Linked DNA regions of Arabidopsis thaliana. The protein of the gene in region 2 interacts with the protein of the main gene of each other region in a pairwise test. Each region holds a gene or a part of one and is shown on either strand. Other genes may lie near its edges. The genes, in order: AAP5 and CHI.

Region 1 (16,589 bases), on a different chromosome or scaffold from region 2:
GACATGTTTGTCTTGTAAAAACAAAATGTGACATTGGTGTGCGTTACTCTAAATTCTTTACCGATCGACCCTAATACTACTTTGATTGCTTTGCACTTGTAGTTTAGGAAATTAAAACTATATCATCATTGGTTGAGTTATTTTTTATATTATTAAAGTTCTTGAGTATATATAAAACAAAAGAGTTGAGGTATCAAAAAGACACCAAGCATGTGATATTATTCTTAAGTACTTTCACTCATTTGATTGTATAGCTTTTGAATGTAACTAATGTTATTTATTGTGTAACTAACTGAGAATTCATCGATTGCTTTGTAAAAGAAAGATCAGAATATTTTCAGTGTCATATCATTATTCTCGATTTGCTTTTGTTAAATTTTAATTATTGTTTTGTCAAGGTAAACATTGATTATCTTATTTGTATGGCTTCATTAGGCATTGTTAGCTCAATTTTATCTAGGGGATCTTTAGTTTTGGAGAGTGTTTACAAGAAGATAAACGATTTAAGAATTTGAAGAATTTTGGAGATAAACACAAAACATCTTGTAGCTCCTTTGGTTTATAGACTTCTAAAATTAATTATAAGTATTAAATGTTTAATACATCTCTACTACCTCAAGTGTCGAAAAAGCTATCCTTATACATGACTACTTTTAATCATTGATAGTTCAATGTTGTAAGAATTCTCGGTAGAAACATGATTTATAATTGAACACTTACACAAAGTTAACTAATACAAATATGACATTAAAACATTCAATTCTAATCTTAACCCTTTTAGCAGGAGTTTATTTTTCCCGTATGATCTCAGAATTCAGACTGGAAAGGTTTGTAGACCTTGAGATCACTAACAATGCCAATAACAGATCCCGCGGCCGCGGCTACGGACACAAAAAGACATGTCACACTCAAGACTTGTAGACAAACCCACTTTGTGCCCCATCTCGGAACATTCTTCTGTGCAATGTACATTTCCACTGGGAAATAAACCGTTAAAGGCCAAAAACCAATGGCCCCCAAGAGACCGACTACATCGTTAAAGAAAGGCATTAACATTGAGATCAACGTTGTTGTCATCACGAAGAACGTCCTCCATACGAGCCTGAAGAGATTCAAGTTAAAGGGCTTCCCCGGGAAGAGTTGGATCTTGATCTCTTTTGTGACGAATTCGCTCTCTGGAAACCTCCTAGAGGCTTCCTTCTCGACGAAGGCAAAGAGGGGTTGGCAATAGACTTGGTAAGCACCGACTAGATGGATCACTATAGCGAGATTAGCAATGTCAAGCAACCAATATGGGTTTCTAAACCCTCCATGAGCGAGGAGATTTCCGGGTGCGTTATCCCCAAATGCTGCATACCCTACACAGCCACATAGCATGTAGAAGACTGTAGTCACTGCCACACTTACAAAAGTCGCTTTTCTCATCGTGTTTACTTCGGCAGGCGGTGATTTCACCGTGTCCTGGATCATCAAATCGTCTAGTTGATTAAAACATCCTTTAAACAAACTCTTATCACACAAACTCGCTTAACAAATAAACCAAACGATGCACTAGTTGTAACAACGTTATTTTTCTTTTGAATCTAACTTAACATTATTTTCAAAAAAAAAAAAACTCGCGTAACAAAAATACCTGAATTTCGATGAGAATCATCGAGTAAGAGTACGCAAACGCAATGTTGCCAAGAGACTGAAATGTTCTCCATATTTTCTGCGACGATGTCACTGTCCCACTCAGTGTCACTGTCCCAACAGTGACTCCAGTGAGACTACCTTTAATTTCTTTGTTCTCTACCACTTTAGAGACACCAAGGCCAAGTCCAATGGCAGAATAAGCAAAAGACATGACCGCAGCGACAATGGAAAGCCACCATAACTGATCAAAATCAGGAATCTGAGAGAATATGATTTGTACAATACCAAACGCAATCATGTAAACATTTCCATTAACATGACAAGGATCATTTGGTCCATTCATCTGTTGGCAACTTGTCCTTTGGATTGCTCTGTAAATTTTTTATTCAAGAAAATTAGTTAACAAGTCAAACAATAATAGAGCCGTTCTTTCGAATCTTTAATGGCACAAAACAAGACTACATTGACTAAAACACTGCATTATTGAGCCAAACATTAATGACTTGTATGGACAATATTGAATAGCAAAATAAAACACGCATCTAACTTTTTTTGGACAAATGTGAACAATTAAAATAAAAAGAGTTTTGTGAAAGCAAAGTTTTAACTTACACCAAACTTATAGCTGATGCAATTGTATATCCAATTGCTGTACCAAATAGATTAACATATTGCACAACTCCACATACTTTCACCTTAATCCCACCTAAAAATGAATCAAGAATGAATTAAGTTTTTGATGATAATAACTATTGGGATATGGAACCGATATGGAGAACCAGAGATCGACAGAGATCAACGGTTGAAATGACAAGGCCAAGATACGGCAAGAAAATATTATTCTAAAAGATAAATGTTAAACTTTCTAAACTTCAATATTAACATTTATCTTCTAGAATAATATCTTTTTGTTATATCTTGGCCTTGTCATCTCAACCGTCGATCTTCGGTTCAATATCCCAATATATGCACCAAAAAGAAACCGAAATGATTTTTTTTTTGTTTACCGAGGTTGGAGTGAATAGCGTCCATGTAAGTGTAGTTTCTTTTGCCGGTAACAGAGTCACCAGATCGGTAACAAGAACAGAGAAGGGTAGATGTGTAAAAAGTAACGAAAGAAAAGAGTAACATAGCCACTGGACCACCAATCCAACCAATCTGAGCAACGGCCCATGCCAATGACAACACTCCTGACCCAATTACTGCTGTTATTATGTGTGCACTTGCTGTCCACACCGTCCCTAAACACCAATCACATTCAAACAGAATTTTAAGACAAGAACTGTAGTAACAATAAAGTCTGTTTTGTTTAACCGTTAATTTTAAGACAACAACTGTAGTAACAATAGTGTTCATACACTTTAGTAACAAAAATCATACTTTTCCATAACATCCACACAAAAAAAGAAGTAGGAATTTGTCACCCCTTAACAAACAAAGCCTATGCATATATTTACTGTAGATGTTTTAAATTGCAAGTTCAACAGACTCCGGGTTTCGGTTTGTATCCCGAAACCCGGAATTAAAAAAATTCCGGGTTTCGGGTTCAAATCCCCGGTTATAGGAAACAGAGACTAATTTTATATTTACTTTGATTCTTGTTTGAACAGATTAGAGAAACATAAAACATAAAATTAGAGAAAAAAAGAGAAATTACCGGTTCGCTTGGGACGACCATCATCATCGAATGAATCCGAGCTATGTTTCGGAAGAACATCCAAATCTTGAACATTCTGAACGACCATCTTCTTCTTTTGGTCGACAATAAGACCAAAATTTACTAAGAAGAATCCAAACTTTACCGACAGGAAAAACGGTTGAAAAAGTTTTACTTGTTTTGTGTTTTCTCGTATAGATCTTGAATTTTTTTAAGACCAGAAGAAGAAGTGAAATCAACGATTATTCAGCGAGAAGAAGAATGATTTTGACCAAATAAAATCAACGGTGACAAGAGACCGATGTTTTCTATGGACCAGAGATTATATAATTGGAAGAGAGTGAAAGTATAGGAATTGACAAAGTAGAGATTAGAAATGCATGATAATATAAATACTGACCAAAGCTTTTGTTGTTTCACTAATTTATAAGCACCGTGGAAGACGGAGACATCCAACTTGTAAGAAGGAAGAAGCAGAGGAAACCGCATGTGCTTTTTTTTTTTTTTTTGTGAGGACTACAAAAATAGTTTATCTTTTTATGAGAAAATGGTTTCATTGTTATACATTAGTGACAACAAGTGCAAAATGTCAAATCTTATAAATTACATATAAGCTAAACAATCAAACTAAATTTTAAGATTTTTACCTTTAAAATATAGATATTTTAATTTTAAATTTTAGAAACAATGATTCATGTCCTTATAATTTAAGAGTATTTGAGTAAATCAAAGTAATTTAAGAAAATATATAATTAGAGATATAGTAGTTTTTATTATTATTGATTATTATGTTATATGTACTTTTGATGTCAAGAGAAAGTTGAAGGAAGATTTAACTTTTGAAATTCGTTATATCATTTGTAAATGAACGATTTGGTGGTATACTTATATTAATATTTTAGAATCATTTATCATAGGCATTACTCAAAAAAAACAAAATATATTTAACATGGGCATGTGTTCAACCATAATTATAAACAAATTGATAAAGTATATATTTTATTAATTTGTTATTTAAATAATTAACGTTTACCATGGACTTCTTTCGTCTATATCTAGTATATTTCTAAAAACTTTCGGTTGGTTTTGAGGAAATGAAAGTGGAAACTATGTATAGTGGTGTTTGCATGTTATGAGTTTGGTCACATTATATACTCTTTTTTGGTTGATAGGTTCTCACAAATTGAAGTTACAAAACAATGTTAAATATTCTCGATTATTTTCCATTTTATTTGTGGAGTTTTTGTATGAACATGCAAAATACACCTCGATTAGATGAAGTTTTTCAACATAACATTGCTAGAATTGCTAGGATTAATCTCAATTCTTAAAAATTCCATAAAAGCTAAACATCAAACCAAATTTTAAGATTTTTACCTTTAAAATATAGATATTTTAATTTTAAAATTTAAAAACAATGATTCATGTCCTTAATTTAATGAGTATTTGAGTAAATTAAAGTAATTATAATTAGAGATATAGTTGTTTTTTCATTATTATTGATTATTATGTTATATGTACTTTTGATGTCAAGAGAAAGTTGACGGAGGATTTAACTTTTCAAATTCCTTATATCATTTGTTTTTTTTTTGTCAACCGGAATTAATTAAACTCAAACGAACCAATTCCGAGGAATTAAAAATAAAGAGATGCTAATAAATTTTTCTTTCTCGCTCTTAAATTCTTTCAAATACACTGGAAACACCGACCATTCGGTTGGAAAATACACTGTCGTTATATCATTTCTAAAGAGTATAAATGAACGATTTGGTGGTATACTTTACTATTTTAGAATCATTTATCATAGGCAATTAGATATTATTTTGAAAAAGAAAATATATTTAAAATTTTGATGGGCAAGTTTTCAACCATAATTACAAACAAATTGATAAAGTAAATATTTTATTAATTTATTATTTAATAGTTATTTAAATAATTAACGTTTACCATGGACTTCTTTGTCTATATCTACTATGTTTCTAAAAACTTTCGGTTGGTTTGAGGAAATGAAAGTGGAAACTATGTAAAGTGGTGTTTGCCTGTTATGAGTTTGGTCATATTATATATACTCTATTTTCGTTGATAAATTCTCACAAATTGAAGTTACATAACAATGTTAAATATTCTCGATTATTTTCAATTTTATTTTTGGAGTTTTTGTATGAACATGCAAAATACACCTCAATTAGATGAAGTTTTTCAACATAACATTGATAGAATGGGTTTCACTTTTTTTAAATGCTTATTGCTGTGCAATGGTTTTCCGAAGTTTTCTGCATATATGAATTACCAAAAAATAGGAAATTTAATATAATCATTGGAACATCTAATCTATTATTTGAGTTGGAAAACATTTTGATTTTTCAGAACGATGTTGTTGGAAAACCAATAATTCATCTGAAAAGTATATTGATAGAAAAAGTTGACAAAAAAAAATATATATAGATGAAAAATAAATCAAAGTATCTGTTTTTCTTAATATATTTTTTAAAATTCATGCTTTGATATAGCTGTATTCAATGTGCAATTATATCTCGTGTTTGACACCAGATTTTGTGTCTGGAGTTAAAGCTGAGTTGCCTATATTTGGTCCACGCATTTGGGTATTCGGTTCGGTTTTAAATAGTATTAGTTCGATTAATTTTTGACAAATGTACTAAGAATTTCTGAATATTTTGGTTATGTTGGTCTAAAAATAATTAATAATTTTGGATTATAGTTGTAATTTTGGATAACTAAGAAATTTATTAATATGTTGAGTATATAATTTATATTTTGTACATTACATGACCAAGTAGGTGTTCGGTTCGATTCTGGTTCTTCAGATATAGGAGTTTGGGATTTCTTCAGATATTTTGTCTCTTTCGGGTTTAATTCGATTTTTTTTGTTGGATCGATATTAGTTCGGTTCTATTTAGATAGCATAAAAAAAATGAGATAAAATAAAATTAAATCATAATTTTGCGATTGTTTCTAAGTTGTAATAATCGTTGGAAATACCTTACATTTTAAGCTTCGATATTAAGCTACTAGATCAGTTTTGCCAATATTTTCAGATTATACCGACCAATAAGATTGACCTAACCGAGAATAACCATCTAGTCGTGTGCTCGAATAAAAACTAGATTTGAGTTGAATGATGGAACGAGATGCGGTAAGGTGTGGTAAGTTCACCATGGTTTTAGCTTTGGGAGATATTCTCCTCTTCTCCTCAAAGGTGATAAGTATCACAGTTGAATCCTGGATTCCGGTTGAGATATTGTCATCTTCTCCTTCAAGGTAATGGATTGTAAGTTAAGATTTAGAGCTTAATTTTTAACTGTAAGAATATAGGGTTTGTGGTTTATGTTTTGGTTTGATATATGGATGTACTTACCTATTAAATTGAACACCAACCATGTAAAGACACCTTAATTTATTGTGTATGTATATTTAAACTTTTAATTTACTTAAAGTTAATTTTCGGTGTTCTAGAACATGGGCTAGATGAGCATCTAGGCGTTATTAGGCGGTGAGGTAGATTTGGCGGACTATGCGGTCACTAAACAAATTAGACATTATTAGGTGGGTTTGTGCGGGTTAGGCGGATTTAAATGTGTCCTAATGTTAAAAATATATATATTTAAAATTGGGTCTAAAGACACCTATAATTTTTATATTCTACTTTCAAATGTTAAATTTCAATTCATTCTAAAAAATGTAAAAATGTTATAAATTTTCATAATGTTTTTTCAGCATCTCATATAATTATACAAATATTCTAAAACTGCCTTAAATCGCCTAGACTCCGACTAAGCATTTCTAGGCACTAGATGGAGGATTACCGTCCGTTTAGCGCATAGCGCTTTCTTGAACATTGCTAATTTTATTTTTACATATATAATTTAACAAAATCTACAAATAGAAAATAACTGAAAAGGGGGAAATCATTACAAATATGTCCAATTTTCCTGTGTATTAAATCATTTACAAGAAACAAAAATATTGGTCTAAATAAAAGCTCTTGATTCTTAACACTTAACACATTTTCTTTTGTCAACAATGATACAATATATATTATACGAACTTTAATACGACAGTATACTACAGCTTCACAAATCATTATGTTATATACTTATAGGTCATTCAAATTTTACCCATTTAAGAGTTTAAATAATACAATATGTCTTGAAAATCATAAAATGATAGTATAAAAAAAAGGAGAAGCCTTTAAGAGAAAATTGAAAAAAAAAGACTATTAATTTGAACTTTCATTATAAATTGATGGGAATGTGAGATAATACTGTGTGAATGCAGTGTCCAACAATAGAACTCTTTATTGAGGAAAAAGCCGCAACATTATTTAAATTGATTGGTGATGTTTGGAAAGATGGTGAATTGCGTACGACCATCGAAAGTTGGTCAGTAAAGTGACTTTGAATATCGATCGACTTACTCTCACTTACCATCGAGTTCAAAACTGTTGACCTTTTCAGTTTCCACCATTGAATACAAGTCAAAGTTCGATAATAATAATAATATCCCAAAAGAATTCGATAGTTCTTAAATAAATGACCAAAAAGCATGTCAAAAAGATAAAAATAAAATAATAATAATGGCCAAAAAGCTTCATACCAAAACAATGCGTAAACATTCTTAGTAATACATTTTTCAGAATCTAAGTCATACATTTTTATTCGTTTTTCAACTTATAAAAACAGAAACTGGAACAAAGCACCCTTTCTACATCCCAGTGGTCAAGTTGCCACTGCATGTAGGTTTAAGGATTTATTCTTGTAGACATACATGGCTAGCTAGTTGCAGATCTAACAAAGTATTTCGAAATTTTGTAGACAAAATTATATACTGAAGAAAAATATTGATTTGAGGGTAACGACAATTGTTAAACCGAAAAGAGTAGTATTTTATTCTATTTTGGCTAAGCAGAATAATATGTTATAATAGTACACATAATAAAAATACAAATTTATGTTTTTTTTTTGTTAAAAAAAATTACAAATTTATGTTTTATACACGATATGGCAAGTTGTCACTGAGATTACATATCCATTTTTCGATTATTTTGTGTTTGTCTAAAAATTTACAACTATAAAAATTTATTAGTATAGTGAGGGAAAAAAAATGATTCTCACTATACAATAAATATTTTACGAAGAGATATAAACGAGAAAAATAAGAGAGAACGCAATAATTAATATGTCTTTGAGCCACTTCATATAGATTTTGTACCATTTTTTTTTCTTTCTTATTGTTCTAAGTGCAATAATAATATTTTTTTTTGTATAGACAAACAGGAAACTTGATAGAATTTAGGATTTATAGATATATTCAGAGGTTATGCTCCTCTTTTTTGGGTTTAGTTTTCCGGGAATAGTTATGTTTTCCACCGGCTTAGTTTCTCAAAGACTTTCGACTCTTGTCGATCTTGTATTTCAAAATCCTATTCTACCTACGTATAATATAATGGAATCATGCAGATGAAAAAAAAGAGATATATTCATAGGAATGAAACTTTACAAGTAGATGATTTATTTTCTTTTTCAATATTCTGATTATTACAGAGAAAATTGTAGACTGCCCAATTTCTATATATAGTTTAGTAAGTTGGACCGTTTTTTGCTTTAGCATTGATTGGTTATCTTAAGATACTCGAGTTGGATGTTTGTGAACAATATTAGAGTAGAAGAGTTAGGTACGTTATTATCAGTAGGCAAGAAGCATCAAATTCCAAATACTTCCCGTAAAGAATAAAATAATTACAAAACAAAACTCAATATATTGGATCTAAATTATACTTTTCCTATGTATCCTAATATTTTTCAATTGTTATAATCTTTGTAATCATATTTTTGTATTAAGGTAAACTGAACCATAATTTAAACTATACTGTGGATTTAATTTATAGCATTACCGTATTACCATGCATGCACCCGAATTTATATAAGTTCAATAGTTTTCAGAACTATATAACTATTGGTTTTATTATTTTACACCTAAATTGTTAGTCCATGATGATAAAAAAAACATAGATATACATTGATGGCCATCTTTCTATATCAGTAAGAAATATTCTAATCGATCGAGGACCAGCCAAAACATTCTTCAATATAAACAACTCTTTATAAACATGATTCATATTCGTATGCAGCTTCCCTGTATCCACTAGTTTTGAAAAGATATGCTCGTCTCTTTACACACTAAACTATTGTATTACTATGAAAGTAGTTATTGTCAAGCGTTTGCATGTCGGTAATACAAATTTAAAACAATAATTAAGATTACGATTTAGATATTGGTATAATTTAACTTTCTATACTTGTTTTAAAAGGTTTTCGATGCATGTTTATTATTCTATCTTAAAATATTATATTTATTTGCGGAAGTTCCATTTGTCTAATGGTTGACCAATGGTTCATTTAAGCTTTTACATTAAGAGGTTTGGAGTTTAAATTCTAGCTACTGCAATTTATTAGTAGATTTGTAGATTAATGGAGGCAAGTGTGCAGAAAATCTCTAACGATGTACAATTATAGTTGTTCACTAAGATTCTACGCAGAGAAGATATTGAAGATGTCCATCAAAAACATGGAGAAAGAGAAAGAGGTGTCGATCGACATATGTGCTCAAAAATAAAACAACTAAATATATGTTTATGTTTAGATATTGAAACCCCTTGACAAAAAGAAAAAGTTTAGATATTAAAACCATATATAAACATTAAAATATGTCATAGTAATTTTTTTTTTTTATTAAGATCATGGTAAAATTATGCGTAGATATAGTTTTTATTGAACGAGATCAATCAGAAAGACGGAGACCAAAAACTATTGGGGACCAACTAACAAGCAACTGAAGTCGTCGAAGCACATTTGAAGTGAACGTTGTGAACTCCTAACCTAAATTTATTCTCGAACAAATTGTATTGTGATTAGGATTCATAGTTAAAGATAGGGAAGTTCTAAACCAATTATTAGGATAAGTTCCAAATCCATTACGTCCACAAGATTAATTGGTCTACAACCAAATTTAGTTTAAGTTAGGTTTTATTGATCTCCCAAAAAAAATTGTTACATCGAAAAACTCGAATTCAAAAATAGATCACCGTCAGATAGTTTTCTACAAAAAAAATTTTGTCATTTGATTTTAATTAAAACTCAAAAGAGCCAAAACTGAGAAATATTGTTTGGAAAAAATATCGAAAAAGCACAAACTTTCAAATTTGGAAAAAAAACATATAAAATTTTGAAATATCACTTAAATACCAAAGTTGTTGTTGACTTTATAATTAAATAGATAATTTTTGTGACTTTACCATTTTGGACACGTCGTTAAGTCAACGGACAAAAAAATTAACTCGGAACCTCTCAGATGTATCATTCATTCATTCCATTACCGACTAAGCTGAAGCATTTAATTGTTCGTTCTCAAAGACATACATATTTTATATAGGTTACAACAAAATTAACGGGGTTAATCAATTTTATTAATAGGTTCTGTTTCTTGTCGCTCTGTAATATTACAAAAATCATTTGTCCTAAAACATTTGATGTCTTACGGAAATCAAGAATATTGCAATTCAAGAATGTTTAAATTGAACATTGAATTCAGTAATTTATCAAATTCATTTATCACTTGATCAATAATAGCCATGAAATCTGCATAACACGTTTGTTTGCATATTTAAGCAGATTGATAATAACTTTTCCCACTTTTACCAATCAAATCATATCACCTAATTACGTCACTTTCTAGAGGAAGCCAAAATAAATCAGCTTAACAAGTTTTCAAAGTGAGATCGTAGATAGCTAATTTTATAAATAGACCAACAACAGCAAAATCATGTACAATCAAACAATTAAATCCAACACAACATTGGAACAAAGTTAAATTAAAGGATTTTTAGCTGTTGTTGAAGAACTCTTGTGGGATTACGGATGGACAAAACTTCTTCGCCACAAACTTGTACTGCAAAAAAAAAACACAAAAATCCAATCGTTATTAGCACATAAAACAACTTAATCATCATTCTTAATTGTTATCACAAATAAATAAACACAACAACTTACTTTGTGTTGACTATACTTCTCTCTAACAGCAGGTAGTGTAGAGCCGTGAGCAGTACTACACAATCGTTGAAGATCCTTCACACATCCTCTCAACTCCATCGCTTTATATTGCGTATAGTGTTGCAACGTCGAGTTCTGATCCAACCAAACAACAAACACATTTTACTACATGATTCTTATAAAGAGTAAAACAGTGTCTTAAGGTTGTTTAAACATACCCATGGTCGTCTTGTTGGGTCTAGAATGTACTTAGCCAAGAAAATGGCGGAAGCAGCTACTAGTGAAGGAGAATGAGAGAGCATAGTGTACTCTAGTAGCGATAATTCCGCAATGTAGTTAGCCATACATTCTAGCTGCATCAATGGAGCTTCATGAACACCATGAGCAGCTCGAACAAAGCGTCTGAAAATTCAAGTTGTACGATCCAACTGGTTAGTAATTAGTACAGAATTGTATGAGATAAGAGAAGGATCTGTTTTGTAAAGCAATCATCTCACTAACCTTAGAAAACATTTCGTAGTTGGTGCAGTCATTTCAAACTTCAAGTAATTCAGAACATCAGATTCCATATCAAGAACTTCATCTTTGAGATATGTATTATCAGTAATGTAACAAAACTCCTCAACTTGTGGAGCACATATCTCTTCATATTTCGCTGCTATCATCATACAAGCCACACCAAGCAACTGAAGTTTCTGTCTACTAATCACATTCCCAGATAAATACCTATCTATATAGTTCACAGTCAAATACAACGTCTCCGGTACAAGCCTATACTCTTCAGACACCTACAAGAAACCGAAAAAACCCTTAATAAAACATCGACAAGAGTGACAAAAGCCATCACATTTTCTCAATATAACTATCATTCACCTCAATAAGCCAATCAACTAAGATTCCACGCATACTCGAATTCACATCTTTCTGAACTCTCTCCATGTAATCAACATCAGGTCGCTTCTTAGCCTAGCATATAGATGATACACAGATTCAGAAAACTTGCAAACACATAAAGCTAAAAATATCACATTCTGGTTAAGAGTTATCACCTCAGAAGCACGAAGATGCTTATAAATGTCACAAGCAAACGTAGCACAAAGCTGAGGATCACCATTGTTACTATCAATGTTAACAATCTGATTCTTATCCATTTTCTTCATATCAGATAACACATCTCTACTACAATAATTATCTGCAATACCAAGCAAATCAATTCAATACCAAAACAATATAAACAACAAAGTCATAGAGAACCATTAGTAAGAAGTAGTACCAATTGTTTCTGAATTCGGCGTTATGAACAGATTACTCAAAGCTTTCCTCTCAATCGAAACAACAGCCGAAACGTCGTCGTTTTCGATATACTCAACTTGAGGACTCTTGTAGGAATCACTTGAAGACCTAGTCTCGTCCATTGATACTGAGCCATCATCAGATTTGCTAGGTGAAGAAGCAACTTTGTGAGGAACTATGCTTTGTTGCAGATTGCTAGAGAAACTGGCATTAACGCAAACACTTGGTGCTATCTTCAATTTCGCTGACTTGTTTGAACAATGTACCTATACAAAACCAAAATCAAACTCAAAATCAATAAGCAATCTCATAGATTCAATCAAAGAAACAATGAATCCATATTCAAAATTGATCACAAAAACCAAATCCACAACAAAAAATGAAGCGAAGAAACAATGGATCTATAGTGAATTAGAGTAAGCGAATCTTCAAATCAAACTAAATAGATCACAGAAACGAAAGATTTTGAAAAATTCATAGCGAAATTGAAGAACCTCACCGAATCAGAATTTTGTAATCGTGAGGCGATTTTTTGATTGGTAATGTTACTTAACGGTGCTCGTTTCTTCGTCATCGCCGGCATAAGTTTAACAGAATTCTCCGATGAAGATGGTGCTTGACGCTTCGCTAATGAAGATTTCGTCGAAGAGGAAAACGAAGATCGCCGATTCTGAAGAATGTTCGACATTTTTTTTCTTAGGGTAAAATGAATCTTCTCTGAGAATCTCTGAAAAAGGAAACAGAGTTTTAATGGCGAAAGAGAAAGAGAAAGAGAGAGAGGTTTTAAAAACAAAGCGAAGGAAGTGAGGTTAAATAATTTTTTGAAATTTGAGGAATGATCGTGACCGTTGATTTTGAAGTGTAGATTTTGTTTTGGAGCGTGCACGAATTTTAAAGGTGTATGTCTGTTATTTAGTATTGATCACTGACCTGTTATATTACGCCACGTATGGGTTAATTAGCTTTTAGGGAAACAATGTGTGACAGTCAGTAACGAGACTCGGTTCGGTTTACTTTTTTTGAATTCGAATTTCAAACGGAAATAAATTCGAATTTCAAACGGTCACCTTTTGGGTGCTCTTTCTCTCTTTTTTAAAATAAGTTGGAGACATAAACCATATAAAGATAAATTTATACATTGAAATCAGGAGCTGCTATTTTTCAATTTTAAATACTTTTACCACGAAAATTCAATGTGATTTGCTGTTTAAAATTTTCAAAATGTGAAATATGGAGTTTATGAGTAAAATATTTGATCATGATATTTCTTGAGTGTTGTTACTTGTTTAGTAACAAGAATACATTAGAGAAATCTCAAGTTCTCATGAATACATTAATTTTGGTATTCACCGATACTAGTCGTGGCTAAGTTAGAAGGTCTATATCAAGTTTTTGATGAATATTGTTAAGACTAGCATTGTTATTAAGAGTTGGATAGGAAGTAGGAATTTTTCATGATAGTATTGATGCTAGTTCATGGTAATATTGATGCTAGAAAATAAGAGTTCGTTAGGAACTTTTGGTGAAGTAAAGATTCACTTAATTGGAAATTATTAAGTGAAATTAATATTAAGTTATTAAGTTATGGTTGATCAAGAAATTAATAAATCTCGTGTCTCGTCATGTTTATCTTTAGGGCATCTCCAACCATAACACCATTTTAGTATTGAAATAACACTATATTTGGTGTAGTTTTCACACTAAAATATTTTTCTTCTCCAACCATAAAACTAAATATCACACTAAAGCTAATATTTTCTATTATTATACTATTAACTAAAATTTTAAAATATTACACAGTATTAAAAATAAATATTACACAACAAAATAGTATGTTAAACAAAATTAATTACAAAAAAGTAACACAATGACAATACAATTGCATTCACACATAATATTACACAAATTAAAATACTACAAGAATACTAATACTCACATATCATTCATCAAATTCCAAAGATGTTTAAATTTAAAACCTTTCTTTAGTTTTGTAATTTTATGTTTTGAATGTTAAGTTGAATTTTTATTATGTATCAGCTATTTTAATATACAATCATATTAAAATAAAATAAAAATTGATACTTAAATGTTTGATGTCGCTACAGTAATACACCAAATATAGTGATTTACTGTACAAGAAAATGGAATCACACCATAATAGTGCAAAGTATAGCGTTTGGTTGGAGACAAAAAGTAAACATCCCCATGTCAAGATAACGTTTTGCCGTCACATTGGACATGGTCTTAAGATGTACAATGGAACGGCAAAACGTTATTTGGAGGTGGTAATATTAACTTTCTGTCTCCAACCAAAGTGTATATTTTGCACTATTATAGTATGATTCTTTTTTTATTTATAATAAATCACTATATTTGTGTGCTACTATAACAATAACAAAAATTGAATTAATATTATTATTTATTTTAATTTTATTAAAATAGTATATTTAGTTATATATAGTATATAAAATATGATTTGTATTGTTATTTAACAATCTAATTAAGTTTTGAAGTAAACATAATGTATCAAAACTATTTTTGTATTTAAAATTTTAATTATATGAAATCTTAATTTGTAGAAAATATTAAAATTAATATAAAAATTTTAATTGAAGATACATAACAAATTTCAATCAACCATTAAAACAGTTTTTTAGCTCGACATAGACAAATTAAGATCGAGAAGCTCATATTGAATTTTGAAATGTTAATTGAACATTTGTTGTCGTTAGAATTAGTATGATGTAATTTATTTTTAGTATGTAAATTTTTGGATTATAATTTTACATTAATTGATAATTTTAAAATATTAACTAAGAAAATGTTCAATTTAACAATATAATAGTGAGAATAGTATTTTTAGTGTGATATTTTGTGTTGTGGTTGAAGAAGAATAAAGCTTTAGTGCTAAATTTACATTACACATATTGTTATTTCAACACCAAAATGATGTTATAGTTGGAGATGCTCTTATACCTTTCACCATCTTCTAGATGAAGTTTTACAAATCTTAACATCTCTCGTAGATTGTTATTTCAACACCAAAATGGTGTTATAGTTGGAGATGCTCTTATACCGTTCACCATCTTTTAGATGAAGTTTTACAAATCTTATCATTTTTTGTAGAAACAAAAAAATAAAGATGAATAACACTATTTGTATATTTCTTTTGGAACTCCCAATTAAATATAAAGTTCCTTTTGTTTTCTAAAGGGCTTTTAATACCAACTTAAGGCCAAGAGAGATTTGGTCCATCCAATTCAGTTAACCCGAAGACAAATTAATTTTAAACAAAATTATAACTCCACACATTTTCTAGAAATCGAAATAGTAAAAACAGAATTACGTCAATGTCAAAATAATCTGTCCGTACGTCACCTAGTCATATTAGTTCTTACTAAATTAGGTGTGCGATAACTATTGTCAAAAATAAATAGTAAACGAAAATGTGAAAGAATGAGAAAAGATTGCGTAAAATAGTTATAGTTTTGGATTTTGTGATTTCACCTCTTCTCTGTCGAACCTTTAAAGAGAAAATAAACAAATTCTTTTACCTTTTTCTTTGTTTGTTAGCAACGGCAAAAGAGAGAAGTAGGAAAATTCATTTTTCATTTCGTCTTTTTTTTTCTTCTGAATTCATTGAGAAACTTGGATCCAAATTATTGATTCAGAACCAATCATCTTTTACACATTTACAAATTCCAACATTTGAGCTAGGAACGGTGTTTTTTTGTGTGTCCATGAGGTAAAAAGGAGTAATAGAACGTTTGCATAAAAGGTAATTTTGTAAATGAATTGTGCATTTGATTGTGGCAGGAAAAAAATCTCTTAATCACCAAATGACAATAATACAAAATCAAGAGGATTCTATCTTTAGTTTGATTTGTTGTTGAATCCATTTAGCTAAATGTTTTTGTTTCTGTTTTCTAAAGGAGTTT
Region 2 (14,822 bases):
GGAACCGCGTTTTCACAAAACTGTGGTACAAACGGGTGTAAAGGCAACATGTGCTGCAGCAGGTGGGGATATTGTGGTACCACAAAAGCCTACTGTGGCACTGGGTGCCAGAGTGGACCTTGCAACTCTAAACCTAAACCTACTCCGACTCCAAGCGGTAGTGGCGGTCTAAATGCTGGTCCTCGTGGTACCATAGCAAGCGTTATCACACCAGCGTTCTTCAACAGCATCATGAGTAAAGTCGGAAGCGGTTGCCCAGCGAAAGGGTTTTACACTCGCCAGGCTTTCATCGCAGCCGCTGAATCGTTCGCAGCCTACAAAGGAACTGTTGCTAAGCGTGAGATTGCCGCCATGTTGGCTCAGTTCTCTCACGAATCTGGAAGTAAGTTCACCGTTTACTACATTCTATTATTCTTTTTATGTATCAGAAAATGTCTAAAAAGGAATTATTAAAGTATTATCATGTTTAAAAATTTATATAAATATCTGATTTATCAGTTTGCATTAAAAACTTTATTTTGATAATTGAAGAAAAATATAGAGACAGGAATATTTTCCTCATAAGAAATAAGGATTTGCTAGCTATATATATTACCAAAATGTGTTCCAAGAATGTGTCTAAAACAAGTTTAAAATAAAGTTTATCTGTTTGGTTATGTAAAGGTTTTTGTTACAAAGAAGAAATAGCCAGAGGAAGGTACTGCTCACCAAGCACAACATATCCTTGTCAACCCGGAAAGAACTACTATGGTCGCGGTCCGATCCAAATCACATGGAACTACAACTATGGTGCAGCCGGAAAGTTCCTTGGACTTCCTCTCTTGAAGGACCCAGATATGGTGGCTCGTAGCCCAACTGTGGCTTTCCAGTGTGCCATGTGGTTTTGGAACAAGAATGTGCGTCCGGTTTTGAGCCAAGGGTTTGGTGCAACCACGAGGAGGATCAACGGTGGTGAATGTAATGGTGGGCGTCCAGCTGCAGTGCAGAGCAGGGTTAACCATTACTTGGACTTCTGCAAGAAGCTTGGGGTCACTCCTGGAACCAATCTCTCATGTTGAAGACACTACTAGTTTATGAGGGTTTTTCATTAATGTCGTCTGGTTAAGAATTTCGTATCGAATAATAAAGTGAAGTCGAAAATACTAGAACTTATAAAATTTGTAAGAGATTAGAAGTTATATTGTGTGGTTGATGTCTCTTAAGGTAACTATATTGTGTGTTGTTTGTATCCGCTCGCTAGCATAAGTAATAAAGATGGAAGTATTATCCAATCAATATATTGGTTTCCCTGTGTTTCACACTAGACTAGTATACATGCATATAAGTAACGAAAATTACTTTTCTTCTATCATCACATCTTTTCTTCTATCATCAGTTCATCACATCTTTTCTTATTAAGTTTTAAAGAAAAGAAATTAGAGTACTAGCGGAACCAAACGAGGCTTGTGATTGATGATAACAACCAAAACAAATAAAAAAGAAGAGGAATAATGTTATAGATCACATATGATCCGATCATTTCTAACCGTCATGAAATTCATCGTAGATATGACAACATAATTATTAAGGATGTGCTAGTCTTTGGGTAACATTTTATGCTATTGTTAGATTCTGTAAAAATAAACTAGTGTTTTTGTTTTGGGATTGGCTTAAACTGGAGGCCATACTGGTTACTTGGTGATCTGAATCTAATTTCCTAAGAACCACCTTCGATTTTGTTTTTTTAATGATTCTTTAATTATTCCACATGTTTATATAATTTGCTCCTTTTTAAGTGCATCTGAAAGTCATAGGGATGGAACATTGATAACAAAGCAACAGATTGTCACGTGAAAGATTAATTCTAGTTTCAGCTTCTCAAAGTCCAGGGTTAATAGTTGACTTGCGAATTTATAGTGTTCAAATATATAGTAGCTAGATCTTGTGGATATTAATATATGTAGTCTTCCTTAAATTTCTAGCAAAAGCTTAAGTATTTAAAATATCAAGAATATATTAAATCAATTACAAATCGACTGATTTTGAACTACAAATATGTCCACAAGCCCCTCATGTTCACAAAATCCCCATTTCCTAACACTCATTTGCTATAACAAAATGACCATCAAAAACGTCATTTTTTCCCTCTTCATTCTAGCAATTTTGGCCGAGACCGTGTTCTCGCAGAACTGCATGGATACTAGTTGCCCTGGCCTTAAGGAATGTTGCAGCAGATGGGGTTTCTGTGGCACCAAAGATGAATACTGCGGATTTTTTTGTTTCAGTGGCCCTTGCAATATCAAGGGAAAATCATACGGATACGACTACAACGTTGATGCCGGTCCACGTGGTAAAATAGAAACCGTTATCACATCAGCGTTGTTCGATAGCATCATGAGCAAAGTCGAAAGCAACTGCTCGGCAAAAGGATTCTACACTTATGAGGCTTTCATTACTGCTTTCAAATCTTTTGGAGCTTACAAAGGAAAGGTGGCTAAACGTGAGATCGCTGCTATATTGGCTCATTTCTCATACGGATCTAAAAGTAAGTTCATTATATTATTAAAAACCAAAAATAAAAAATTTGCATTGGCGTTTTTACCTTTAATGCGTAAGATATTTGAAAATCATGGATGCATGCAATTTTGGTTTTTTGGAAGCTTAAAGATAATACATTTTATTTTTACGTAAAGGTTTTTGTTACAAAGAAGAAATATCGAACGAGAGATATTGTTCAAAGAGCAAGAAGTACCCTTGTGAACCGGGGAAAAACTACTATGGTCGTGGTTTGCTACAATCAATCACATGGAACGAGTATTACGGTGCCGGCAAGCACCTCGGGCTACCTCTACTGAAGGATCCAGATCTGGTGTCTCGTAGTCCAGAAGTTGCTTTCAAATTCGCAATGTGGTTCTGGAATAGAAACGTGCGTCCCGCTTTGTACTTAGGATTTGGAGAAATCACAAAGAGAGTTGATGGCCGTGAATGTGGTAACTGGCGTCGCGATGATACGAAGAACAAAGTTAAGCAATACATAGAGTTCTGCGAGATGCTTGGAGTAACTCCTGATCAAGGTCTCGATTGTTAAAGTCATTAGTGTGATGGAAATACTTTTAAATTAATAATAACTAATTTGATTGACCTATGGAACATATATATATTTGGTTTAAACTTTTCAAGATTTTATTTTGATAGTTACTTTTCAAATATCGGAACTCCAAACCAACGGCAAAAATCCATTTGGAAAACGGAATTAGTTTCCAGTACTAAATAGAAATATCGATCATATGCATGTAGCATTACGAGGGCTGGTTTGGCTTGATCTTTATGACATCATTTATTGGTATGTTTTCTCTGGTTGTATAGCTGATGCTTTCCTTTTATTTTCAATGAATTTTCGGACCAAATTAAAAAGTGAAATAGGGTAATAGGTTTGAGGATGATCGATTTACAAACTCACTAAGTTTGGCGATCGAAACACAAAAACCATAAAATTTGGAACTCTTTAAAGACGTAAACAAGATGAAAACTTTTATTCCATAGTCACAAAGTTTAAAATTGAATTTCAAATCGTTTGGACGTTTCGATTTAACATAAGCCATTTAATTTATTATTCATCCTTCCATTTCTATGTACTAGTCAATGTTGCTTATATTTTGTTTGCTAACAGATTAAGAAAAAAACAAAAGACAAAAACTCAAGAAGATATTTATTTTTTAGCCTTGGTAGATGGAAAGTCATTAGTTAGCATTAGGAATATGCAATAATGTTAGGCCATGGCTTTTGAATAATTGACAATACATGTTAAATAGTAGTACACCGCAGCCTCTAAGTGGAAAAAAAAAATTGTATAAATTAATTAATTCATTTCTACCATATAAAAAGGTTCCTTCCAAGTGGTCTACGAATACCCGAAGATATTGGACTTTTTTAGTTACCAGTACAGCTGAGGTGACCATCCTAGAAGGAAAATAAATGAAGAGATTATAGACTATCTTCAGTAATGTATGTGGATTTGTTGACGAAAAACAAAATTATACAATATATAGACTCGAATAATCAGGCAGTGTGCATGAATGTCTATATGAAACTTAAGATCATTTTATAATAAGATACACCTACGAAAAACTCTACTTTAAGATGAAACAATGAGTCCCAAATAAATTTGAAAGAATGAGTTAGTACCCAGCGAATCTGTCCTTTTATTTAATTGAGCTAATATTACTGTTAAGGGAATATGAATTGTCTTCATCTCGTAAAGTTTTTATTACTATTAAACAATATACATACGAATTTGAATTTTGATACTTATATGATGACGATGCTAACAAAACAGAAAACAATGGTTAGCGTATCTACATAATTCAACAGTAACAGCTGGTTATATGTGAAATAAGCATAAAACAAAGCCTGAATTTCTTTGATAGTGAGCACGAGTCATTATTATCCAGCGAGTACGTTGATTAATTTGAGATTTTATAGTAAGAACTTTTCTTAAGAAGTATAATTCATAAGAACTAATTGGAAGTGCAATTCTAGCGTTAGAATGTGTGGATTTAGAATTGCACTTCCAATTAGTTCTTATGATCAATTGTTTTTCTTTGACAATAACTTCATTTTAATGAGTAAATACAGTTTCTTTGACAATAAATCGAAAAACAAAACACAGTCATCTTATTTATCTACTTCTCGTTTCTTTTTATTCCTAATGCTAACTCGCAACGAATTCGTGGTGATTCAGTACTTGATAGACTTAGCATGAAGTTAAGAACTAAGGTTTGAGTAATTTCATTGCGATTGAAATCATTATAATTGATCATTATGATTATCTCTTAAACTTTAAAAATTTCCACGCGGCGACTCGAGTTTTAAAAAATCATTGAAAAGAATGAGTTGGTTGTTGAATCATACGATTCCTGAAAGTCCGGACCAGTGAGGCAGTGACCGAGCCGGAACGCACAACGTCCGGTGCAGTTGTCACTTCCACCAGAAAAGGCGAAACCAAGAGCTTTGAATTGAATAGTCAAAAATAATTGCTTCTACTCTTCATTCTTCAACGTATGCAACGTAACTTGTATGATTGTGCATTTATCATTTTTTATCGGCAAATTTTAGCCTTACACAAAAGACATAATAAAGTATCATGGCCTTTTTTGTTGACATTGTCCTTCTCTTGTCAACAATCTTCCTGGTTTTAAGATACATATGGATGGTTCAGAATGTCATATAGTATAATCTATTACTCTACACTTTGATTGATGACATTCTTATTCCGATTTTTATCCAAGTCTTTTATTAGATGAAAATCAACTGTTATTTTATAAAAAAAATAAATAGTGGATTTAAAGTGATTTGAGTGACATACATTAGGTGAAATTTGAAGGAATTTCTTAGTTAAAAAATCAAAGATGCAAATCTTATAGTTTTAGGTGAGATTTTAGAGAATGTTAATAGCAATTTCCTAAAGTTCACTAAAACCATCTCAAAACTCATCAAAACTAAAATCACTCTCAATTCATCCTTCAATACAGCCCCTAAAACTGAGAATCATTTTTTGTCAACTAAAACTGAAATTCATACATTTGATGGAATTTGAGTAGCCGCCGGGTAATGGACCCAACCAAAGGCTCACATAGTCACATGGTACCAAGATTTATAGTGATATTATGCGACATCTCTCTACCACATAGTCACATGGCACCAAGATTTATAGTGACAATATGCGACTTCTCTACTTAGGGCCGGCTTTCAGAAACTCTAGAAGAACTAGCCACTGATCGACTATATTAGAGTAGTTAATTTTATCAATTACATTTGAAATGTTTATCTCTAGTAAGATAAATATCAAACAAACAAAACTTAATCCAAGGACTTGTCTTCATATCGTCTATTAAGAGTCGAATTTAAGAAATGAAAAATAAACGATTCAAGCTTAAGTTAGTTTTAGGAAAAAGACATACTGTTTGCTCCATATAGTTTGTACATGTATTAAATATAGAATAACAAAATATTTTAATGTTTGCTCCATTGACATTACATGTATTAAACAGTTTAATAGAAAAACGAACATTTTTGTTTGTTCAATCATTGGGAAATCATAGAATTGTTCAAAATATGAAACAAAAGTGAGAAATATCAATTAATATAATAGTTCTGTTTAACAAGAAAATTGAATTTAGACCAAGTCCACAATATTCATCTTGAGTAAGAACACGACCAAAAGTCAAACTCGTTTCGAAATACATAAATATGTACCCCGCTATACAAAAAAGAAAAAGACATTTACATCCACTTATCCCAATAGACAAATGACCAAACTACCCAACATCTACCCCTATATATACCTCACCACCTTTGCCCTCTCAACCACAAACAATAACACAAAACATGGCTTTCACAAAAATCTCCTTAGTCCTTCTTCTCTGCCTCTTAGGTTTCTTTTCTGAAACTGTCAAGTCTCAAAACTGCGGTTGCGCTCCAAACCTCTGTTGCAGTCAGTTCGGTTACTGTGGTACCGACGATGCATACTGCGGTGTTGGATGCCGATCAGGTCCTTGTAGAGGTAGTGGAACCCCGACCGGAGGGTCGGTCGGTAGCATTGTGACACAAGGTTTCTTTAACAATATTATCAACCAAGCTGGTAATGGTTGCGCGGGGAAAAGATTCTACACCCGTGACTCTTTCGTTAACGCCGCTAATACTTTCCCCAACTTTGCCAATTCTGTTACCAGACGTGAAATTGCTACCATGTTTGCTCATTTCACTCACGAGACCGGACGTAAGATTTATGTCTTTCTTCTCTTCTATCTTTATATACTCAAAAATAAATTAATATTTTGTGTCTGTGTATACATCTACTTTAGTCATGACTCATTCGAAGTTTATAACTTTAGTAAACTAAACGAATGATTGGAGGATTTGATATTTTAAAACGTTTTGCATTATTTCAAAACAAATGAGGATTATATTATATTATTATAACACGTTAAGTATTTTAAGGAAAACAATTGGTTATAAGACCATATAAGATTAAACCTTTGATATTGTAGTAAGAAATGACATTTGACTTGATCTCAAGTAACTAAGATGATCCTAATCCTAAATAACTCTTCTGTTTCATGTGCATCTCCATACGTATTAGATTTCTGCTACATAGAAGAGATTAACGGAGCAACACGTAACTACTGCCAGAGCAGCAACACACAATACCCATGTGCACCGGGAAAAGGCTACTTCGGTCGTGGTCCGATCCAACTATCATGGAACTACAACTACGGAGCGTGTGGTCAAAGTCTCGGTCTTGACCTTCTACGCCAGCCCGAACTTGTGGGTAGCAACCCAACTGTAGCTTTCAGGACGGGTTTGTGGTTTTGGATGAATAGCGTAAGGCCGGTTCTGAACCAAGGGTTTGGAGCCACCATTAGAGCTATTAATGGAATGGAATGTAACGGTGGTAATTCCGGTGCAGTCAACGCAAGGATTGGATACTATAGAGACTATTGTGGACAGCTTGGTGTGGACCCTGGTCCTAACCTTAGTTGCTAAAAAACCTTTGAACCCAAACACGGACATATGTGACGTGGCATGTAATAAGTGAGATATACTAAAATTTCACACGTATGTACTTTATGTCGGGTCTCGGTGTTCCCTGCGTCACAAGCAAAAAATTGTTGTAATAAACTTGTGAAAGTGATTTTCTTTTCTTATGTGACTTCTTATGAAAGAGAATTTTAAGATTGATAGATGTTTGAGTTTGACACTTGCAGTATCTGATTTTGGGATACTCGCATAAATTGATATTATAATATTTTATAATCTTGTATTTATCACGCCAAAAACAAAAAGTTTTATAAAAAAAAACATAATGATAAACGTGTCATCACCACATTGGTAGTTTAATGGTTTTTAGATTGTTTTTGGTCAACATATGGATTCATTAGAGACGTATGCAGGATGCAGCCTAGCGTAATCAATGAGTCTGGTTTATGTTTGTGAACTTTTCAGAAAGAAAAAAAAAACTGATTTTATTAAAGAAAATAAGTACAAATGTTAGGAAATTTCGCAACGGTGATTTTTGTAGAAAATATGTTGTACACTTATTACGTTCACAATCCCCTCATATAATAATAAATGTTACCGTTTGGATTCTATCCGGTTAAATATAGAGGATCTATTATAGGATGTATAACTTTTTCTTTTTTTCTTTTTTAGGATGTATGACTTACTTATATATACAAGTCATATAGGATGTATGACTTGTATATATAAAACAACATCTATGTTATAAGTTCAAAGCATTTCATTTCGTATTTCAGATGATTTCAGTCCGCTATACGTATCTATACTCGATCTATTCATTGCAAATATTTTGAAGTTCAATGTTGAAAAGTCAAAACCATGGCAAACCATCGTACAGAGATTTATCATGAAAATATGTGTTGGCTTCTTTTAAGAGTCGGCTTTTAGAAAATGCTCGAGAGAAGAGGGGCAATTGATTGGGGACTCGGTTTGTATTATTGTAATTAATCAAGGAACACTCCAATATTTTTTTGGATCGTTTAGTAATAAGTAGTCAAATTCAATAATTTTTTCAGGTTCGATGTTCCAAGCCGTCGACAATTTTCTAACATCGCACTTCAAAAATTACCACATTTATATTTTTTGGTTAACATAATATTATTATTTGTGAAGGGCGGCTTTTCTTAGTTTCATTAACATACCGACTTTAAAAAAACAAAAAAACAAACCGACAGTTATCTATAAAAAAATAAAATATATCCTACAACTTTTTTATTCATTAGTTCCAAATTCAAAAAAAATGTGTAACCATGTAAATTAAAAGATCCTAATTCAACCAATTATTTTTCCAACTACAGTACAATTCCAATCTACCAGGTTTTTTTTTTGTTTTTAAAAGAAAATTCATTTTTTTTTTTTTTTTTTTTGTCGGCCAATTCAATTGCCCATACATCTTCGGCATAACAATCAAAACCATTGTTAAATAAATGAAAGAAATTAAATCACAATTGATTGCCAGTCCCACGGAAATGACCAATATACCCAATATCTTTCATCATATAAACCTCAAACTCTTCCCTCTCCTCAAACAACAAGAACCCAAAGATGGCTCTCACAAAAATCTTCTTAATCCTTCTCCTATCCCTCTTAGGTTTATATTCTGAAACCGTCAAATCTCAAAACTGCGATTGCGCCCCTAACCTATGTTGCAGTCAGTTCGGTTATTGCGGTACCACTGCAGATTACTGTGGTTCTACGTGCCAATCAGGTCCTTGTAGAGTCGGTGGACCCCCTACCGGTGCCGGTTTGGTTGGTAATATCGTGACACAAATTTTCTTTAACAACATTATCAACCAAGCCGGTAATGGATGCGCGGGAAAAAGTTTTTACACCCGGGACTCTTTCATTAACGCCACCAATACTTTCCCCAGCTTTGCTAATACCGTTACTAGACGTGAAATTGCTACCATGTTTGCTCATTTCACTTACGAGACAGGACGTAAGAATCTTTTTTCTCGGTTTTTGACCTTTTTATACACTAACCATATCCTAGCCTTCTAGGGTACATTACTAGATTGTGACATAAAAATTGAGTATGCGAATTTAAAAAATTTAGAGTAACAATTGTTTATTTACGTTTTAATCTACAGTAGCGTTTGAGTGTTTTAAATAATTACTAAAATACTATAACATACATACGTTTGAAACAATCATTATCTAGAACGAAAAAAGAATCATATTTAAGACGTAAGAGATTAAATTTTAAAACCTTGGATGTTATCTCATTTACTCTGTTTTTGTCCTACAATAATTATAAACTGAACATTGATTTTCTAGCATTTGTTCGTTTGTTCGTAAATTAACTAGTGTGTTTCAATATGCATCTTTGTACGTGTAGACTTCTGCTACATAGAAGAGATAAACGGGGCGTCACGTGTCATGTGCGACCAGAACAACAGGCAATATCCATGTGCACCGGCCAAGAGCTACCATGGCCGTGGTCCGCTCCTACTATCATGGAACTTCAACTATGGAGCATGCGGCCAGAGTCTCGGCTTAGACCTCCTACGCCAGCCCGAGCTGGTGAGTAGTAACCCAGTCGTGGCTTTCAGGACGGCTCTGTGGTTTTGGATGAAGAGCGTGAGGCCTGTATTGAACCAGGGATTTGGAGCCACCATAAGAGCCATCAGCGGTTTCGACTGTGACGGTAGGAACTTAGGTGGGGTGAACGCAAGGATTGGCTACTATAGAGACTATTGTGGGCAGCTTGGTTTGGACCCTGGCGCCAACATAACTTGCTAAAACGCTCTTGGGACATACATGGCACGAAAGTATTAAAGGTGAAATAAGAAGTGTTGTTGTAATTGTAGTACTTTTTTTTTTTTTTTTTTTGATAAAAAGCTAGAGTAATCTTGTGAAGTGAAATCACATTATTAAAAGATTAATAAATCGACTTATACAAATAAAATGCTTGATTCTTGATATTTATACCGCACCCAAAGAACAACAGAACATAACTTTGTTGCATAAGTTTTTGACTCCTATATGTAAAACTTCATTCCTTTCTTATCTAGTATTGTTGGTTTCTTATCTCAATTGAGCGATCGGATTAGAATTGGTCTGACAACTAGTTTATTATGTGAAACTTTTAAAATGAAGAGTTTTGTTGTGAATCAGAGGGTTTGAAAGAATTTGATTTCAGTTTAAAAGTAAACCGAATTTGTTCAAGTCGTTGTAGGCCTATGTTTTGTCTGTTTCTATACATGATTGATCAGTCTCTTGAAAGTATGATATATAGATGATAGAGCTTGTTTTCTCTATGATATACATGTTCCTGCAATATATCTTGTTAGATTACTAACTGGACTAAGTCTGGCACGTAAGACAACGATCTTCCACAAGTAATTCTAGTTTACAAGTCATTCTAATAATTTTAATTAATTTCAAAATGGTTGGAATAAAATTACCTAGTTTTACTATTTAAGAGAAGACCAACATCAAAGATTATTCTTATCTAATATTCAAATTATGGATATTAATGCATTCATATACGACTCGGGATTAGTATTTCTTACAAGACTTGTTCAATAAAATTTCTTGCCAACAATTATGACTTTTCCTGTTGTTTACAATTTTTCACAAGTCTATTGTCGATTTTAAATTTGTGTTATCACACACAACATGAGACTAGTAAAACCAATTGACATTGACTACAGGCTTCTACCGATTAAACTTATCTTGTATAACAAACTCAAACCATATTTTAATTTTTGTTTTCCAATTGGCGACTACTTTCAGTAAAAGTCACTTAGTTTCTTGCTTTTTAGAACCACAAAAACCAAATATACTTTTTTCACCTATCTCATTTTATCTCTGATAATTTTTCTTTACACTAAATGTTTGCATCACAGGAACAAAAAAATATTTGGTTTAACCAATTTCGTAGATTGAAACGAAAATGTTGGTGTTTGTTTGAAAATTTCCCAACGTGTTACGTGTAACGTTTCGAATGGTCTAAGAACTAATAAGCATGCGTGGCATTGGCGTTGACGTTGACTCAGAAAACTACAAGTATATTTTATTTACAACAAAACGTATGCTTCACGGATCCATCATCATCTATAAAACACGAAGCTAATGTTCATCATCTCTCTCTGCAGTCTGCATCACAGACACAAAAACAATGGCTAAACCCACATCACGAAATGACCGATTTGCCCTTTTCTTCATAACCCTAATTTTCCTGATCCTAACCGTTTCCAAACCGGTCGCCTCTCAAAACTGTGGCTGCGCCTCTGACTTCTGTTGCAGCAAATATGGCTACTGTGGTACGACCGATGAGTTCTGCGGCGAGGGCTGCCAGGCAGGACCTTGCCGGAGCAGTGGAGGCGGTGGAGATCCTGCTGTTTCACTAGAAGGAACGGTGACACCTGACTTCTTTAACTCTATACTAAACCAAAGAGGTGATTGTCCTGGCAAAGGATTCTACACTCACGACACCTTCATGGCCGCAGCTAATTCTTACCCTAGCTTCGGTGCTTCCATCTCCAAACGCGAAATCGCGGCGTTTTTCGCTCACGTAGCCCAAGAAACAGGGTGTAAGTAAATTTTCTCATATAATTTTGAATGAATAAAGATACTTATAACATAAATTTTATTCTAGTTACGACTATATTGGTTCAATTTGACTAAATTAAATTTCAGCATAAGATAATAAAATCAGTAATTGTTGTATACAAATTTTGGTTAATCGTATATGTCCACCACTATAGGTTTCGTTTTTGTGACCATATGGTTATACCTTGTTGCAGTCATGTGTTACATTGAGGAAATTGATGGACCAGCCAAGGCCGCATCCGGAGAGTACTGCGACACAGAGAAACCAGAGTTCCCATGTGCACAAGGAAAGGGCTACTATGGCCGTGGTGCAATCCAGCTCTCTTGGAACTACAACTACGGTCTCTGTGGCAAAGCCTTGGACGAGAACTTATTGGCTTCACCAGAGAAAGTTGCTCAAGACCAGGTTCTTGCCTTCAAGACCGCTTTCTGGTTCTGGACCACTAATGTTCGCACGAGTTTTAAATCGGGCTTTGGCGCAACAATCAGGGCAGTGAATAGTAGGGAGTGTAGCGGAGGAGATTCTACAGCCAAAGCCGCCAACAGGATTAAGTATTTCCAAGACTATTGTGGCAAGCTTGGAGTTGCACCTGGAGATAACCTCACTTGTTAAAGTTTCCTTGCTATCCATCCGAAACACAACTAGTGTTTGAAAAACTTAGAGATCACATAAGAGAAAGTATCATATTAGTATAATAATGTTGTAATACTTCACATTTTACCAAAAATAATAATAATAATGTTGTAATAGCTAGTGTCAATAAACGATTTCTTATGCATAGGCACGGCGGATTTTACAACAAAGGGCCGATGTGTAAAAAGAAAACACCCAATAGTGCTTCCCAAGACCGTAATACCCGAGATATCCTATATAAACCAAGATAAGAAATCCTCTAAGTACAGTCTGATGAAAACTATGGAAGAACACTTAGAAAATACTTGAAAGAGTATAGAGAATTAAAGAATTTATGAAAAACACTATTTTATTTGAACTTTCTTTTTGATTCATTTGTTCAACCTTTTTACAAAGGATGGGGGTGATGAGGTTTTTGTACCCTCCAAAGTTAGCTTACAAAGGCTTCTAGACTTTACCCTACAAACTCCTAGATTATTCTACATAATTATCTATCTAGTAGAATTTTCTACAACACTTAGAGGAGATGATGATTTTTTTTTAATAATGTTTCTAGAGAAATCTTATAAAACTTAGCGCAAAATCAAGTTTACCGTCGATACGCGCTGGTCATAATGTAAGCTTTAAAAGCCAACGCCAATCACCAATAGTCCAATGCACATTTGGACCGCCGGAGGAAGAATGTGAAATGACGACGTTTTAACGAGAGGTGAAGTAGACCCCACACGAGAAACTACTTGTCGTTTCAATCAAACAGAAGTAAACAATTACAGATATTTACTTGCCGTTTCAACTTCCGGATGGTCCACTCCTTAACGTTCATATTTCCTTAACGAAATTAAAAAACAAATGAAAAATTTAAGAAACTACGAGAGCCAAGTCAGCAAGAAGCGAACGCACAAACAAAACAAAACCAGAGATTTCGTTATCCACTGAAGTTCGTTTGCTTCTGTCAAATTTGCCAAATCGTAACCAAAAAAAGATGGCAGCTTCTTCTCCATCTCTCCTTCTACCACTAGGTAAGAACCTAAGCTACTGATTCTGTTTTCTGATTTCTTCTCAAAGATTAGATTTCTCGTCTTGGAATTCAGGGTTTCTCTGCTGAATCTACTTTCTCAGAGATAAAAATCTCATCTTTGTTGATTCTCTTAATCCTTACGGTTCAGATTAAACCGGCTTCATTCATGTCTTGCATAGTTGCAATTAGAATTGTAGAATTCATTACTCTCATGTTCAATTAGCTATTGTTTGGTTTTGTGAATCTGACATTGTGGTTATGAATTTAGGTTCAGCATCTAGAAATGGTCTAACCACCAAGAATCCAAATTCATCAAGATATATAGCTGCAAGAGTCATAGCTTCAGAAACAAGAGAGCAAAGCTGTAAAATCAGTAATCTCTCTAGCCGTAGAGAAGCAATGCTTTTGGTACTCGGCGTCTCAGGAGGATTATCAATGAGCTCACTTGCGGCGTATGCAGCTGGTTTACCTCCAGAAGATAAACCAAGACTCTGTGAAGCAGAATGCGAGAAAGAGCTTGAAAATGTATGGTGAGATCACACACACACCTTTTGGCTTTCTATAGAACCTTTTTGATTCATGACATTGATGAGGATTTTCTCTTGTTTTTGGTTAAAGGTTCCAATGGTAACTACAGAGTCAGGGCTTCAGTATAAGGATATTAAAGTTGGTAGAGGCCCGAGTCCACCGGTTGGTTTTCAGGTAAGGACTGAATCAAACCTTTGTATGATTTAAGGAAACTGTATCAAGATAGATGTAAAAATGTTGTAGGTTGCTGCTAATTATGTGGCTATGGTTCCATCAGGGCAAATATTCGACAGGTGATCTTTCTCAATCCATACAAAAACAGAACAACTTGATAGTCTTTACTGATTGATTTTTGATCCTGGAATCATATTAGCTGAATGAATCTACTACTATCAAATGGTCATGTTCACTCAATTGCAGTTCTCTGGAGAAAGGTCTACCGTATCTATTTCGCGTTGGCTCTGGCCAGGTAATTGTGGATATCAAAAAAGGATTTAGCTTTAGCCACAAAAGTAGTTTCTGATACTT

What was found.
Region 1: the proteins of CHI (region 2) and AAP5 interact in a two-hybrid assay, tested with the Arabidopsis thaliana proteins (one large-scale study listed by BioGRID).

The regions. Positions count from the first base shown.
Region 1 is NC_003070.9:16,763,844-16,780,432, forward strand, and holds AAP5 (amino acid permease 5), read right to left. Parts: upstream 3,843-16,589; 5' UTR 3,381-3,842; coding exon 3,293-3,380; intron 2,877-3,292; coding exon 2,643-2,876; intron 2,596-2,642; exon of another isoform or gene 2,416-2,595; intron 2,342-2,415; coding exon 2,248-2,341; intron 2,007-2,247; coding exon 1,634-2,006; intron 1,462-1,633; coding exon 808-1,461; 3' UTR 549-807; downstream 1-548. Other genes in the region: CYCA1;1 (Cyclin A1;1), read right to left, coding at 11,192-11,257, 11,359-11,493, 11,577-11,760, 11,860-12,146, 12,232-12,324, 12,408-12,550, 12,632-12,917, 13,151-13,339. UniProt on the Arabidopsis thaliana protein: Amino acid-proton symporter. Stereospecific transporter with a broad specificity for glutamate and both neutral and basic amino acids. Reduced affinities for asparagine and valine.
Region 2 is NC_003071.7:18,074,294-18,089,115, reverse strand, and holds CHI (chitinase), read left to right. Parts: upstream 1-11,598; 5' UTR 11,599-11,680; coding exon 11,681-12,095; intron 12,096-12,308; coding exon 12,309-12,727; 3' UTR 12,728-12,950; downstream 12,951-14,822. Other genes in the region: AT2G43610 (Chitinase family protein), read left to right, coding at 1-382, 664-1,058; AT2G43600 (Chitinase family protein), read left to right, coding at 2,035-2,524, 2,673-3,067; AT2G43590 (Chitinase family protein), read left to right, coding at 6,367-6,757, 7,121-7,524; AT2G43580 (Chitinase family protein), read left to right, coding at 9,103-9,496, 9,896-10,299; AT2G43560 (FKBP-like peptidyl-prolyl cis-trans isomerase family protein), read left to right, coding at 13,731-13,767, 14,035-14,291, 14,385-14,468, 14,538-14,587, 14,715-14,763.